Linked DNA regions of Rhinolophus ferrumequinum. The protein of the gene in region 1 interacts with the protein of each later gene in a pairwise test. Links are inferred from orthologs where the notes say so. Each region holds a gene or a part of one and is shown on either strand. Other genes may lie near its edges.

Evidence for each region.
Region 2: the proteins of ARL15 (region 1) and UNC119 interact in binary tests that used the Homo sapiens proteins (3 or more experiments, as listed by UniProt). The link is inferred for Rhinolophus ferrumequinum from reciprocal best matches to the Homo sapiens genes ARL15 and UNC119.

What each region holds. Positions count from the first base shown.
Region 1 is NC_046290.1:33,675,334-33,682,728, reverse strand, and holds the start of ARL15 (ADP-ribosylation factor-like protein 15), read left to right. Parts: upstream 1-4,395; 5' UTR 4,396-4,489; coding exon 4,490-4,537; intron 4,538-7,395.
Region 2 is NC_046304.1:18,870,478-18,878,350, forward strand, and holds the start of UNC119 (protein unc-119 homolog A), read left to right. Parts: upstream 1-4,869; 5' UTR 4,870-4,940; coding exon 4,941-5,166; intron 5,167-7,873. Other genes in the region: PIGS (GPI transamidase component PIG-S), read left to right, coding at 895-1,040, 1,598-1,698, 2,456-2,666, 3,016-3,291. UniProt on the Homo sapiens protein: Involved in synaptic functions in photoreceptor cells, the signal transduction in immune cells as a Src family kinase activator, endosome recycling, the uptake of bacteria and endocytosis, protein trafficking in sensory neurons and as lipid-binding chaperone with specificity for a diverse subset of myristoylated proteins.

The DNA.
Region 1 (7,395 bases):
AGTGTTACCTTATATGGCACGAGTGACTTTGCAGATGTGACAAATTAAGGATTTTGAGGTGGTGAGATTATCCAGCATTATCTGGGTAGGCCCCAAATGCAATCACAATTATCCTTATAAGAGGGAGGCAGAAGGAGGACAGACTACAGACGAGGAGAAGGCCATGTGACCACAGAGGCAGAGACTGGAGTGATGCGACCACAAGCCAAGGAATGCAGACAGCCACCAGAAGCTGGAAAAGACAAGGAAGGAATTCTCCCTTGGGACCTGCAGAAGGAACCAGCCTGCTAACACCTTGATTTTAGCTCCATAAAACTCAGGACTTCTTCTGGCTTGCAGAACTGTAAGAGAATAAATTTAAGACATTAACTTGGTGGTAATTTGTACAGTGGCAATAGGAAACTAATATTAATATAATCAGCAATGCAGTAGCGTGTCTAAGAGAGTAAATGATCCTGGGAAATATTGAGAGGGATTTGCACAGCTTCTTGATATTTGGTGCTTGAACAAGTCGTTGCTTGTGAGGTCTAGTTATATTTTCCTGGTATAATTATTTGTCACTCTCAGTGGTGATTCATTTTAAATGCCTTATCTTGGCTTTAGTATTCCAAGACCCAGTAAATCCATTTTGGAAGAGGTGAGTTATCTTTGTAGGTTAAGTCCTTGCTCTCCCAATCACATTCTGATCTCTTCCGTTTATGAACCAAGTTCTGTTAGTAGCTTCATGTGTGGTCACTCTGCTCTGGTGAGGTTCATCTTATAAGATACAGTGGTACTTTGTTTAGGTTTAGGAAATAGGGAAGGGGACTGGGGTAAATCAGATGTTGGGAGGTCAAGGCCCTGCAAAGGGCTCAGAAGAGAATTTTAAGGTCACAGGGGTTATTGGAGCAGTAAGTGAGCAAACAAAGTACCTGATGACCTGTGCAGATTTCAGTGTGTTGACACCTCCACTTTTTCTGAAACCATTGTCCATGGTTTAAAAGTTACTCTGATGAAAGATTCCATCCCTTAGCAATTAAGGAATAATATATTCAGTCAAGGCAAGAATGAGGCAAGATAAGCACTCTGGGGCCAGGGTGGGGAAATGAGTATAAACTAGTACAAAATGAGTATTAAAAGTATTGTACCCTTTGTACCAGTAATTCCATTTCTAGACATTTTCTCTAGAATACTGAGATGTGAACAATTTAATAAGCAACCATTCACGGCAGTATTTATAACAGTAATATATAACAGGATTTGTTAACATAGCACATTTATACAATAGAGCTTTATATAGCCATTTAAACATTTATGAAGACTTTCATGATATGGTGAACTTTATATATTCAGCATGCATGATACAAAACTAGCAGAGAGAGTATTCTTCCCAAATTTATGATGTATCAAATGAACAACAAAAAAGGAGTAAATGGAAATAGTCACTAACATGTTGGTTTTTCTGGATGGTAGAATTTGGGAGACCAAGTTGCAAAAATGCATTTCTGTTTTTGTTTCCTACAAGAAACACTTTTACAAAAAATTTCCTCCAGTGTTGTTTATGGAATTGTAGAGTATAGACTGGCGAAAGAATTTCTCCTTGCTTTTGACAAGCGACAGTGAGGGCCTCTATCCTCAACTTGTATAGTAATGCAATTACCTCATGAGTTTATACATGTTTTCTTATGCATCTGGAAGAGAGCAAAGGCCGGACTACATTAATGAGATCATGTTTATTCAAGACTGCAGTCTGTTACTTGGCATATAGTGGGATAGGTTGAATGAATGCATTCTCACCTCTCAACACTCTCTTCTTAAAAGCACAAATTGGGAGGATTACTGCTATTGCTACCAACTTTATGACTTCAGCTTCATGTAATGCGTGGTGTATTATCTATTTATACCAGCAAAATCTAGAAGTTGGCCTCTTCTGCACAAGAGTGGACATATTAACATCCCAGAAGATTAACATCTAATTAGAAGAATGTGCTCCTTAGGGAGTTCTGAAGCTTCAGGTTTTGGGGGGTGTGTGTGTGTGTGTGTGTGTGTGTGTGTGTTTTCCTTCCTAAGGACTCTTTTCCAAAAGGCAATACATGATTCTTTTATTATATTACAGTAAACACAAGGTTTTCCTTGGTGCCAGTTATAACGAATGTGCAAATGGTGTGGAACAGGGAGGGTACTATGGTGCAGCCTTTGGAACTTTTCCATCTCTCTGCTTTGGACCCATTTACTAATTCCTAAAGGCAGAGTGACCATGTTTAGCCTAATGACCTTCTGTTCAGGACTTTCTCTAAGGTTAGCTTTTAAAGGAAGGGCAGAGCCAACTGCTCCTGGGTGATTTTCTTCCCCTGCATAGAAACTGACAGGCCTCTGAGGAGTCTGACTTGGCAGTCGTGAAGACATCATTTATCACTAAGAAAATGGGCCAAAAAGTGTCTCTTTGCTAATTCAAGCTCTATCTTATTTGCAATATGCTTATGCATGGAAAGAAGGCAAACAAACAAACAAAAACAAGTTTCCTTGTCTATTTGAATTATTTTTGCTAGCAAGTTTGAGAGGATTTTAACTTCTGCAATTAGTTTCAAGCAATTGTGCTATTGGTTTATGGAAGTTCTTCACCTCCAGAATCCAGGTCAAAATCTCTTCTAAACCTACACGTGTTTGACCTAGAATGCTAAGAAAAATCAAAATTGGATCTAATGACATAATGCAATTGAGTCTAGTTAGCTTCTGCATAGGCAAAAACTCATTGAAATTTCTTTAGAAATGTTTATACACATCCCTTGTCTGTAAATTAGATGAGCAAAATCAAGCTCTGTACTAATAAGTTCCTTCAAAAAACCCTCTAGCCATAGGAATTCTCATTTCTCAGCTGCAAGATGAGATAGGATACCCAAAACCTCATGGCTCACCACCTGGAGCTCCCACTGAACAGCCACACTCCCTTCTGTTCCTGGTTTGTACATATTTAGAGTGAATTCCACTGTTATCTAATAGAACGGTTTTGGTGGCCCCAGGTAAGCTTATTGTATAAAAATTCATTCCTGAGGATACAAAAGAGAAAGCTGCCAAGTTGAGGGAAAATAAAAATCCAACTCCTAAAACAACTTTTATACCAGTTAGGTAGTCGCTTCAGAAAGATTTAAGTTCAAGTTTCACTCTTGAAACGTTATTGTATGGAAGCCCCAATAATATGTGAGAGCAATCCCTCATCCTCCTTAACCTGTGGGGGGGCACGTCAGTCACCTGAGCCTGATACCATAGATATGGCTGGCATTGTTGTTGTTGTTGAATTGGTTATTCATAGCCTCTGTCATAAATAAATAAATAAATAAATAAATAAATAAATAAATAAATAAATAAATAAAATAAGCGAGCCTTGAGTGTTCTTATCCAGCTTTCCTCCTCCCCAAACTTAATGCTCCAAACTTAATAGTGGAATCTCTGCCGATTTCCCAGTTTTTTTTTGTTTTGTTTTTTTACCAGGTCTCAGGTGCACCTGCTCATAGATATTTTTACCTCTTACAATGACAACGGGTCACAAATACTTTATAACTTGGGTCTTTTCAGAGAGCTTCTCATTCTATTGCTCATTTTCTTCAGAGCCGATGATTTGTGCTCAGTGTAATTGGGACTCAAAACATGCAATTAACTGACCAGTTTCTTCTTCCCAAGTGTTGGAGGTCTACAATCAACTCTACCAAGTTCCCCAGCTGGTTTTCTTTGCCTTTCACGTGGTGGAGAGCGAATTCTGCAGGGGCAATCTGATTAGAGGTAGCCTCCTGGATTACCTCTGGCCGTGTCGGGGGCTTCTCTGTCACCCCAGGGACATCAGGCTGGAGCTGTCCGCCTTCTCAGTTTCACATCTAATTGAAGGTGGGGAGGGGCCGTCCCCGAGTCACAGGCTTGCCAGTTCAGCATACTGTCCTACACACTTCGAGGGTCCCCGTGGGGCCGTCTCGAGGCTGCAGAACCTTCAGGAAATAGCTCCGAAGAGGGACACTAAGTGTCAGTGGTTACCACTCCTCCGGCGTTTCGGCTCTAGCTTCCTCCCGGGGGTGGGGAGTGGGAGGGGACATTAACGCTCTCCAGCACTGGAGCAGCTCTGCTCCGCTCTACCCAGTTAGGACACTATGGAAGCACAGAACTCCGGAGGCAGCGGCACCCGCCGATTTTCCGCTCTTCCCTGCTCGCTCTTCCGCCTGCGCCGCCCCAGCTCCCGCCCCTCCGCCCTCTTCACAGGAACCAGGGCCCTCGACGCTCCCGCGCTTCTCTCCTGCCACCCGCAGTGGCCTGCATTTTATAGGCGCCACAGCCAATAAGCGCTCTCCTTTTCTTCTGCCCGCCCTCCCGGCCAATCGCCGCTCCCCTTGTGTAATCTTCGGCTACTCGGCTGCTCTCGGCTATATTCGTCGTTGCTGGCTTTTTCAGGGACTGCTCGCTCGCAGCCAGAGACGCTGCTTTTTTTTCCGGGTTCGGAGCCGTTCCGGATGCTTTAGGCTGCCGGATGACTGATCTCCAGATAACTGAGGCGTTTCTGTACATGGATTATCTGGTAGGTGTGGGGAGGGGGTGGCGTGTCGCCTCTCGGACCCCGATGTGCCTACTGTCCCCCGCCTGGAGGAACAGCCTTTTTGCTTTCTTTCTTTGGGATAGGATGCCTTGGGGTTCTTTCTCCCGCAGCCGGCTCTAGAACTGTGCGGGGGATTCGGAGGGGCGGGCGGAAGGGGTGGTAGAGCTGACAGGTAAAGGTGCAAGCCGGATCAGCCTCCCTGCGGGGCGAGGGGCTGGCTGGGGCTGCGGGAGAGATGGGGCCGCGGCGGCCGGGCGTCCCCTGCCCGCGATCGACTTCTTTGCTTCCCCCTGTGCTCCCCGCAAAGCACTTTCTTTCTGGGGAAGCAGGAGTTTTCCGCTCTCCCTTTAGCAGAACTCCAGGTACTATTAAAGAGCCATAACCAGAATGGCTCACTAAGTGCCCGGCAGCCCCGGTCATTTGGTTGTTATTAGATCTCTAAAGCTATGACCTCGGTCGCGGCGAGGTTTTAAAAGCACATTACCATAAAGTACACGGGACTAAACTGCATCGCAGCCTGGCCAGAACAGGACTGGGTAGGGGCAGGTATTGCCCCACCGTTACGGTCGTGGTTGCATGCCTCGTTTACCATGTGCATGCATTGGATACCAGTTAGTTGCATGTTTAGGCCAGGCTTGTGCTGAGAAGTTTAGATGGAAAAAGTGTCAGCACAATGTTGGGACTGAACATTATTTTAAAAATAGACGTGTGTGTGTGTAATTATGCAAGCACCTTGTATTGTTCCAGAAAGAATATATTCTTGCAGAAAGTATATATTCCCCCAGAGCTGCATGTTTGTGTTCAAGGGGATCCTGATTTGACATTGGTTCCTTTCGATCCTATGCAATGACCAGGTTTACCTTGTTAGCCGGAACCGCTATTGCCATACATATTAAAGATGGTTCAAAACATTACCCTCCTGTCATCTTGCCCGACACATTCAGGCGGTTTTCGACTGTAGATTGGCCTGGCAGAGATTTTCCAGTGCCTTCTAGGAATTACACTTAACGCTGTATTAAGAAAGATTGAATGCTTTCATGATCAAGAGACGCTGGACAAGGAGTAGTTTGTCATGTTATCTTGTATTTGGGCTTTTTACATGAAGGAAATGTTTCTCCTAAAGCTTCAAGGTTTGATGATTGTGTGGGGAAGGGTGCTGATTGCAGTTAATACATGACCTTGTGAATGGAGCGGAGTAAAAAATTCTGAGTTCAAATTGTTTTGTTGTTCATTTGCTGATGTCAGTAACTTCCTCTATCTTTGGTGATAAAGGGACATTATCCACCCACACCTGGAGCCAGTTAAGGGATTATCTGATTGTGTGTTTTAAAATGCAGAGTGCTTTGTAGGTTAAGAGGGTTACCAAACATTTTTCAAAGATTATTTTCTAAATTAAATAACTGATTATTTTGTAGCTTGTCTTATAAATACAGTACTATGGATTTTCTTACAGTAGCCCATATTAAAGCCAAAGTTTGTTGAGGATAATTGCCAAGTAGGAAAGGGTAGCATTACCTGTACTATTGAAAACTAATTTTGGATACTTAAGTAGTGCCTAAAAAGGAGTCAGGTAGTTCTGATCATTTTATTACAGTATTTTCTTTATTTACTGAATGAGTTTTAAATTTACAAATTGCATTATAAAGCTGTCTTTGAGGTGCCAAACCCACTAAAGCATTTAGTGAGAAAAAAAATTGAAAACTCAGATTAATTTCTAGATGGAGAGTCTAAGGGTGGGTGGGTGAATGTGTGTGGGACTTTAGGCTACCTTAAAAGCAGATAAATTTCTTTGTTAATTTACTAACAGTTTTGTGTCAAAATCAGTGGGCCTCAAATTTGACATGGCCTTTTTGTTTTTATATCTATCCCTCCCTGTCGCCCTATTGCGTTGGTATAAAAAAAATCATTATTTGGTCACTTTAACTATACTCTTAAATAATTCACATGTGCAGTGAAACAGCCCCATAAAAATCATTGACTAGTCTTTTGAGGTGAGGAAAAAAAATCTTAAAGGAAATAAATCAGTTTTTGTGTGTGCCAAGTATCCCCTGTGACAAGATTTGAAATCCTTGAACATTAAGTTCAGTTTTTTACTGAAACTGGACTGAAAAAACACACACACAAAACCTCTTGAGGTTGTCTTTTGTGTTTACTTTTTGCTTATCTACTCGCAGAGAAAATGGTATGCCACACATCATTCCTTCCTTCTTGCCTGTCAGATTGACTTGTTTTCTTATACATAATCTTTATATGGTGTTTATTAAAAACCTGTTTCTGAAAAATGAAAGTCACTTTTGTTGACTGTATTTGGGGTCTTATTTTTAAAACAAATCAATTCCTAAGTTATTTTTACTTGCCTTCCAGAAAAAAAAAAATGTTCCTTTCATTCTGAGTTTGACTCTCAGATTTTGCTGAGCTTGTGGACTAGAGTAAGCACCCTGTCCATGAACTTGATAAGAATAATGGTGTGCCATCTTTCCTTCATTTTTCCTTTTAACAGGTGTTAGACTTAGTTGTTGTTGTTGGAAGCTGGAAGAGGAAGCTTTGTGTGTGTATGTATTGTCCATTGTTCTTTGGACTGGATGTCATCACTTAATCTTTGTTATTTGGAGGAGAATAGAAAGGAAGAGAAATGAGAGAAAGGTAGAGGTGCTATTTTTAACAGCTTTTAATAGGATTGTGGCATTAAAACAAATGATGAAGCCCTGATTTTAGAACTTGCTGTTGATTTCCTAATGGAAAAGAAATATTCTCAATGAGAGGTGACAGATAAGTTGAGGGACAGGGATAGTGCCTTAATATTTAAGGTAGGGTTTTTATTGATTTCAGTTCAGGGAGAT
Region 2 (7,873 bases), on another chromosome or scaffold:
TGAGGCCTTAGCAAGTTCCTTCCTTCTTTCTTTCCTTCCTTCCTTCTTTCCTTCCTCCCTCCCTCCCTTCCTTCCTTCCTTCCTCCCTTCCTTCCTTCCTTCCTGCCTGCCTCCCTCCCTTCCTTCCTTCTTTCTTTCCTTCCTTCCTTCCTTCTTTCCTTCCTCCCTCCTTTCCTTCCTGCCTTCCTCCCTTCCTTCTTTCCTTCCTCCCTCCCTCCCTCTCTCCCTTCCTCCCTTCCTTCCTTCTCCTCTCCTTCCCTCCCTCTATCCCTCCCTCCCTCATTCCCTCCCTCTGTCCCTCCCTCCCTCCGTCTCTCCCTTCCTCATTCATTCAGCAAAGTCTGAGGGACTGCTTTGTGGCAGTGCTGAGTACAGAGGTAAAAGGGCATTTCAGACAAGAGAACTGGGCCCAGAAGTGTAGTGTGGTTGAACTGTGACAGTGACCGAGATGCTGCTGGCCTGGCAGGTGGGCGCCAGATCAGAAAGGACCACGTTAAGGAGCTAGAACCTGGTATAAATGGCTAGCCATTGAAGGATATTAAGCAGGGAACTGACATGAGGTCACATTTATACTTGTGCATAAAAAGAGTTATAGTAATACGGGTGCAATGCGGCAGGGCCAGCAGAGCTGTCTCAGACAGGTAAGGGGGGCCTGTTAGAGGAGAGGAGATTCCAGGGGCATTTGGGGGCTAAATTCATGTATGTGGTACATCTTGGGAGAATGTTCAGAGATTCTTTGCCACCGAAACTCAGGAGTGGAGGATAGCCTAGTGATTATCAGCTGGGGAGAATGAGGTCCAGCGTGAGTGACCAGCCAGGTAGAGGCCGACCTGAAACGAAGATCTAGATCCAACATGTTTTGATGTTCTGACTCCCCTTCTCTTTGTACCACAGGATCCAGCGCTGCCTCCCTTTACCCTGTGCTCAACTTTCTGCTCTATGTACCTGAGCTTGCCCACTCCCCTCTGTACATTCAGGACAAGGACGGGGCTCCAGTGGCCACCAACGCTTTTCACAGCCCCCGCTGGGGCGGCATTATGGTAATAGTCACAATGCAGACCCAGAGCCCAAGCTCCAGGGACAGACACATATTCCCTGAGATTATTCTCCTGTCATTCCTCTGGTGTCCTCCGTGGCCTAGCCTGGGGAGAGGCAGGGCACCTACGAGGTGAGGGTGCTGTGAGCTGTGCCCCTCCTCGGCCAGCCCCACTGCTGCTGCTTTCGTCAGTATTTCTCTAATGACCCTTAAGCAGTTTGCACTTACGGAGGACCCTTCTGTGTACATCATAGATCTTGGCCCTATTTGTGGGAGTCTTGCAAGGCTGGAAACTTCGTCTGCCCTGTTAGACTGGAAGTTTCTCAAGGGTAGGAACTCTAAAATGGAATAAAATGACCTCTTTTACAGGACTTTTGAGTGGGTAATGGAGATCATTTATGGAACGCTCCTAATCGGTATTCAAATAATAGTAGTATACCGTCAGGTTTGTCACTTCTAAAGAGCACAGACTATATCTTCCTTTTCTCTCATGGCCTCCAGAGCGTACAGGGCAGAGCTGTACACGGTGTGACACTGAGGCCACCTCATTTCCTGTTGCAGGTGTACAACGTGGACCCCAAAGCCTACAATGCCTCGGAGCTGCCGGTGAAAGTTGAGGTGGACATAGTGCGTGTGATGGAGGTGTTCCTTGCTCAGTTGCGGTGAGGTCCTGGGTGATCCCCTTGGGGGCCTGGCCCCTGACCCTACCACAGTCTCCTGGGCTGACTGGAATGACATCTCACCTAGCAGAGAGACGTTGGCTCTGCCTAGAGCCCGAGGAAACCAAGAAAGGTTTTCCAGAATCACTTCATCCTCCTAAGAACTAGTTGCTGACAAAAACTGCTTGAAGAAAAATAGACTCATGAATGTCAGGGAGTGTGATTAGGGGTGCTTAAGAAAAGAGCTGTTAATTCTTGTGTCAGCTGCCTGATCCCCTATGTTGAGGATTGTATGGCTGTGTCTGAGCTCATCAGGAAAGAGGATTCTGATTGATTAGCAACGTCTGCTCTGGGTGCAGGATGGGAGAGACGCAGCACGTATGTCTTGTCAGAGGTGGTCCTGGATCATCGCTTAACTAAGGCTCTATTGGCCCTAGTTGTCCGAAGAGAGGGTAGACAGGGTGAGAGGGGATTAAACCATGTTGGTGTTATCAAAAATGTTTTAGCCATGGAATCTTTTGTCAAACAAGATCTTGGAAATCCAATATAGAAACAGGTAAAAGCTGAAATACTGGTTAAAGCAGGGCTTGGGCACTGGATTGCTTAGTGTTGCCACTTACTCCCCAAGACCCTAAAGTACTTCCCTAAACCCCTGTGGGTCTGGATAAGATTGGAAATCTTTGTGGTTTTTGTAGGAGTCTTAGTCATTCTTCCACCTCCTAGTCTCAGCCCCTTTGACTTGACTTCACTGTTCCTACAGGCTGCTCTTTGGGATTGCTCAGCCCCAGGTGCCTCCAAAATGCCTGTTTTCCGGGCCTCAGAGTGAAGGGCTCATGGCCTGGGAGCTAGACCGGCTGCTCTGGGCTCGGTCAGTGGAGAACCTGGCCACAGCCACCACCACTCTTACTTCCCTGGCCCAGCTTCTGGGCAAGATCAGCAACATTGTCATCAAGGACGATGTGGCATCTGAGGTAAGCGGGCCAGGGATGGAGTCTGTGGCCCAGGATTGGGGTGGCCAGGGTGTGGTGAAACAGGCCCGTTCAAGTCCAGGGTATGTGTGGGCATGCCAGCCTTGAATGTCCCAGGCTTCCTCTAGAGGGCAGTGCCAGCCCCTCTGCAGGAGTCCAGAGGGGGTGGTGGGGTGAGGTTTTAAGCAGGCACTCAGAAAATACACCATAACCCTGTTATACTGGCCTCCGTATATCCTGGGCGAGTTCCAGGCAACCTGTCTGCTAGATGGAAGACACGGTAAGGCCCATCACCCCGCACTCCGCTTCTCCAATGCCTCGGACTAATTGGTAATCCCCTGCCCCCTCCTAGGTGTACAAGGCTGTAGCTGCAGTCCAGAAGGCAGCGGAGGAGTTGGCCTCTGGGCATCTGGCCTCTGCCTTCGTTGCCAGCCAGGAAGCTGTGACGTCCTCAGAGCGTGCCTTTTTTGATCCATCCCTTCTCCACCTCCTCTATTTCCCTGATGACCAGAAGTTTGCCATCTACATCCCGCTCTTCCTGCCTATGGCTGTGCCCATCCTCCTGTCTCTGGTCAAGATCTTCCTGGAGACCCGCAAGTCCTGGAAAAAGCCCGAGAAGACAGACTGAGCAGGGCAGCATCTCAGTAGGAAGCCTTTCCTTCTGGCCAAGGCGGGAGCTGTTAGACTGAGGGGCCTGCCATGAATGACTCTTCCCAGCCTCCTCTGTTGCCTCTCCAGCAACCAAAATATAACACTCGAAGATGGGTTCATCTTCCCTTCCCTTTCCATTCTTCTGGCTCATGTGTCCCCACCCCCATCCTCACAAGACGTATCATCTGGGTCTCCTTACCTGGCTTGAACCTGAAGGCCCTTTTCTATCTCCCTCTGGGGCAGCGGCAGCTTGTGCTCTGCCCTGGTCCTCAGAGTCCTCTTGCACTGACAGGGAGCATTAGGGGAAAACCTAGGTTGGTCTCTAGCCCCTCCCCGCCACACTTCTCTGTGACCCCTCAGGGAGAGCCCTAGCTCTGCTCTCATGGAAGGAGCCAGGTACAGGTCACCTCCAGCCGCTTCTCCCTTACTCTCCTCCCTCCTGGCTAGCTACTCCTGTTGGGTACAGCCTGGTGCTGTGTGTGTGGTAGAGGTTCCCTTCCCCCTTTCATAGAGGCAGTGTGATGCAGTGGAGAAAGTTCTAGACTTGGGATCAAATATGCCTGAATTCAAATCCTTGCTTCTGCACTTGTCATCTGGGGAGCTTTGAATAAGCTACTTAATCTCTCTGAGCCTCAGTTTTTCATTTGTTAAAACAGCACTAATGATACCTCTCTTACAAGGTGGTTGTGAGGATTAAATGTGATAAGCATTTGAAAATGTCTGGCATATTCCAGGCTCTCAATAAACACTGAATGTGAATTGGTACTTACCTTTTGTTCTTTATTCATGTGTAAGCAGTGGTTTCCTAGCATCTGTCCTCCTGGGCTCACAGGTCCACCCTGCTTCCACCTGGCATGTGCCCTTCCTGCCTCCCTGTCCTGGGGACCCTGTGGTGGCTTAGACACCGAGGCGGTTGTCCCTCAGCATGTCCTGGTTTGCCCAGCGAGGCTGCTAACATCCAGTTCTGCTTTTTAGCGCAGAGTCTGGGAGAGAATAGCTTGTACCAGTGGAAGCCCTCAGATACTAACTCATTCACAAATGGAAAAAAAGAATATATTGAGCAAGGGCTGCAACAGGCACTGTGCGAGGTGCTGGGATATTATAGAGAACACATAGGATCCCTGCTTTCCCAGAACTGATCTTTTAGGGGGCAGAGTCGTGAACAAGTAAAACTAATTTCAGATAATGCATTAAAAAGGAAAAACAGGCTGATCAGATAGTGACTGGGGTTAGTCCTTTAGATTGGGTGTGAGGCGGAGCCTTTGAGCAAGTGACATTTGAGCTGAGACTAGGACAGGGTGGGGAAGAGCATCCCAGGAGAAGACCCTGAGATGCGAACTCGCTTGCGGGGCAGAGTGGCCAGAGCACAGAAGAGGTAGCCAGGACCCCTTGAAAAAAATGAATGAAGCCCAGAGCGAGCCCTCACCCTACGCAGGGTGACTACCCCAGGTCAGTGCGCCCGCAGCTTTTCAGCTGGGGTGGGCTGGCGGTGGGCGGGGCCAGGGGCGGGGCGGGGCGGTACCTGGGGCTCCGGCCGGGGGTGGGGCTGCGGACGCTCCCCCTTCTCCGCTCCAGCCGGCGCAGGCAGCGGCGGCGGCAGCAGGCGAGCCGCGGCCCCGCGAGGCCATGAAGGTGAAGAAGGGCGGCGGCGGGTCCGGGACGGGGGCGGAGCCCACTCCGGGGGCCTCGGGCCTGAGCGTGGAGCCCAAGCCCGACCCGCGGCCGCAGGCGGAATCCGAATCCGGGTCCGAGTCAGAACCGGAGGCAGGCCCGGGGCCCAGGCTGGGGCCGCTGCAGAGGAAGCAGACGATCGGGCCGGAGGACGTGCTAGGGCTGCAGCGGATCACCGGCGGTGAGCACCGGCGAGGGAGCGCCGCCCGCGGGAAGGAGGGGGCCGGCGCGGCGCGCGAAGCCCCGGCCCCCGCCCCCCTTCCCGCCCTCCCCCTGCCTCCCCTCCCCCACCGGGGTACCCTCGTCTGTGTCCCCTACCCTCTTGCCTCCAAGCCTGAGATCTCCATGTCCCCTCTTCCCCCGATCTCCTGTGCCCCTCCTTTAGTGATTTATTTCCACCCCGCTCATTTTTGAGGAGTCCATCCCTCTTTCTCGTGGTGGAGGTGGGGCAGCAGCTGCAACTGTGACCCTTTCCCCATGGAGTTTTCAGAGCCCTTTGAGGCCTTTCTCTGCAGTAACGAGGAGGGGCGCTGAGTGCAGTCTGTCCCCATTCCCCACCCTGGAGGCTAGGAGGAGGCTGAGTTACATTAAAACCCTTAGGTCTCTCTGACCGTTAATGCCCTCACCCTGGATCCCCCAGGAAGTTTGGGGCCATCTCCCTCCCCAAGAAAGGACCTGAGCAGGAATCTTCATTGAGTTGGCTCTGGGCCCTCTCAAGGGAGTGGGTTAATGCCCGCCTTAGCCTGGACTAGGGCCTGTCCCCTTCCAGGAGGCCTAGAAGGTCTCCACTGTGGTTGAGTTTCTGAGCTGGACTGCCTGGGTTGAAGTCCCAGCTTTGCCATGTAATTAGCTGTGTGACCTTGGGCAAGTTACTTCACCTCTCTGAACATGTTCATCTGTAAAATGGGGATAATGACACCTACCTTATAGAGCTACTGTGAAAATAAATTCTGATTATTGCACAGTGCCTGGCATGCTGTGCATGCTCTGTAAATAGGGCTCTTTTATGAGTAATACTGAAGGCCCCACAGGACTGTTCATGGCTGCTGCCTGGAAGCAGACAACTGGGCATTCAGGGCAGGAGAGGCGGTCAGCATCGTCAGGGAACAAGGACTGGGAAGCCTCATGGCAGAGGTGGTGGCTGAGCCTCAAAGAACAGAAAGCATTTGGAGAGGCAGTGGCTCTCTACCTTGGCCTCATTCATCAGTGACCCTGTCCTGGCTCCCTCTGTGAGAGCAACTCTTGGGGCCTCTCTGTGGGGGTGGGGGTGCTAGAGTAGACTTGAGCTCTGGAGCTGCAAGAGCAGCAGAGCCCAGGGCTGCCAGACAGAACCATGGAAGGGACCATGATGGCAGGGCTAGGCCTGTACATCTGGGTCTCTGGGGGACCAACTTCTCCCTCCTCTCTGAGCTAGGCAGCCGCCATTCTTGGCTGGGCCCCCAGAGTGTTGAGCTGCCTTGCCCAAGCAGACACGGGTAGGGGGAGGGGGCCTGGACCAGTCTAATGTTGGTGCCAGTTAGGCTGTAATTGTCAACAGCAGCATTTAGGATTCAGGTTAGCTCTGGGGCAGAACTTCCTTATAGGATATCTGGGGGTTAGGACAACCTATCCAGGTCCTAGGTCACTTTAGAGGTTATTTTGCAAATATGGGGAGTTCTAGCCGACATACCACCATATATTTCCTAATTTGGAGGAAATTCATAACCCTTAAAGATGGATATCTGTGGGTGGTGAATAGGGGAAGGGGTTTCATAGGAGCCCTTTCCTCTGTAGAAATTGAGAACAGGGTGCCAGAGCTTTCCACCCTGGCACCTCTTGGTCTCTTCTGACCCTAATCACATAGGTCTGAGGTTTGCTTCTCCTGGATTACTGGACCATGAATCCTGCTTTGGAAGCTATTTGTGGCAGAGGGGAAGGGAGCAGTTGTATTCTGAGCCCTTGGCTACTGCCCCTGGGTTCCAGGCCTTGTCCTTCCCTGGCAGAAGGGAGGGAGTGGCTGTGGTGTCCTGAGCCGTTGGCATCCCCCATTCCTCACTCCCTCTAAGGACAGAGGGATTGATAGGTTGAGTTTGCAGCAGAAGAGACTGAGGTCAGACTGCGAGAAGTTGTTTCCAAATGAGAGAAGCTCCAAAAGTTGGAGACTGGAGGGAGGGGGGCTTTACAGGGAGCTGGGATCCTGCCCCCGGTTCTGCCACCTCCTTTCCCTGTGCCCTGCACCTTCTTTCTACATCTTTGGACTGGTGTTTACTTTCTGTGAAAATAAGGGTGAAGTAGGGGCTGTCCGCTTCCGTTCCTACTGCCCTCTCCCTACCATGGGCTGTGGTGGACCCTCCAGGGCTCAGGCCTCTCCCCAAGCGCTATGTCATCCCTGCTGGACCCCAGGGTGCTAGGTGGCTGCCTGGAGGCCTTCCTGGAGGGGGTTGCCCCGGGCTTGGGGAAGAGAGAATGACTTTACATTTACTTCCTCTTCCTGCCCCAGAGGAATAGGAGGTGGCTTAGGGGCCTGGAGGGTGATTTCCGGGCCTCTATGGGGAGGATGTGAAGCTGTGCAGGCTGACAGCACCAGAGCCCCTCACTGCCTCTCTCTGCTCCTTCCTATTTGTTGCCAGGGCCTCCGTGACCACTTGCAGTTGCTGCTACAAAAGCAGTGAGGGTTGGCTCAGGCCCTCATATTCCTGGGCTTCCTCAGGTGGGGTTCACCACTGTTCCCGGTTCCCCTTCTGGGCACTGAGGACTCCCAGATACCCCTATGCACACCCCCTGTTGCACCTGCCACACCCTCTTCCTGTCCTCCCTGTACATATTCTCTCTGGGAGTGGCTCAGAGCCAAGGCTGGGTAGATGACCTTTCAAGGGGTTCCCTCTATTTGCTAAGACTTCCTCCCATTT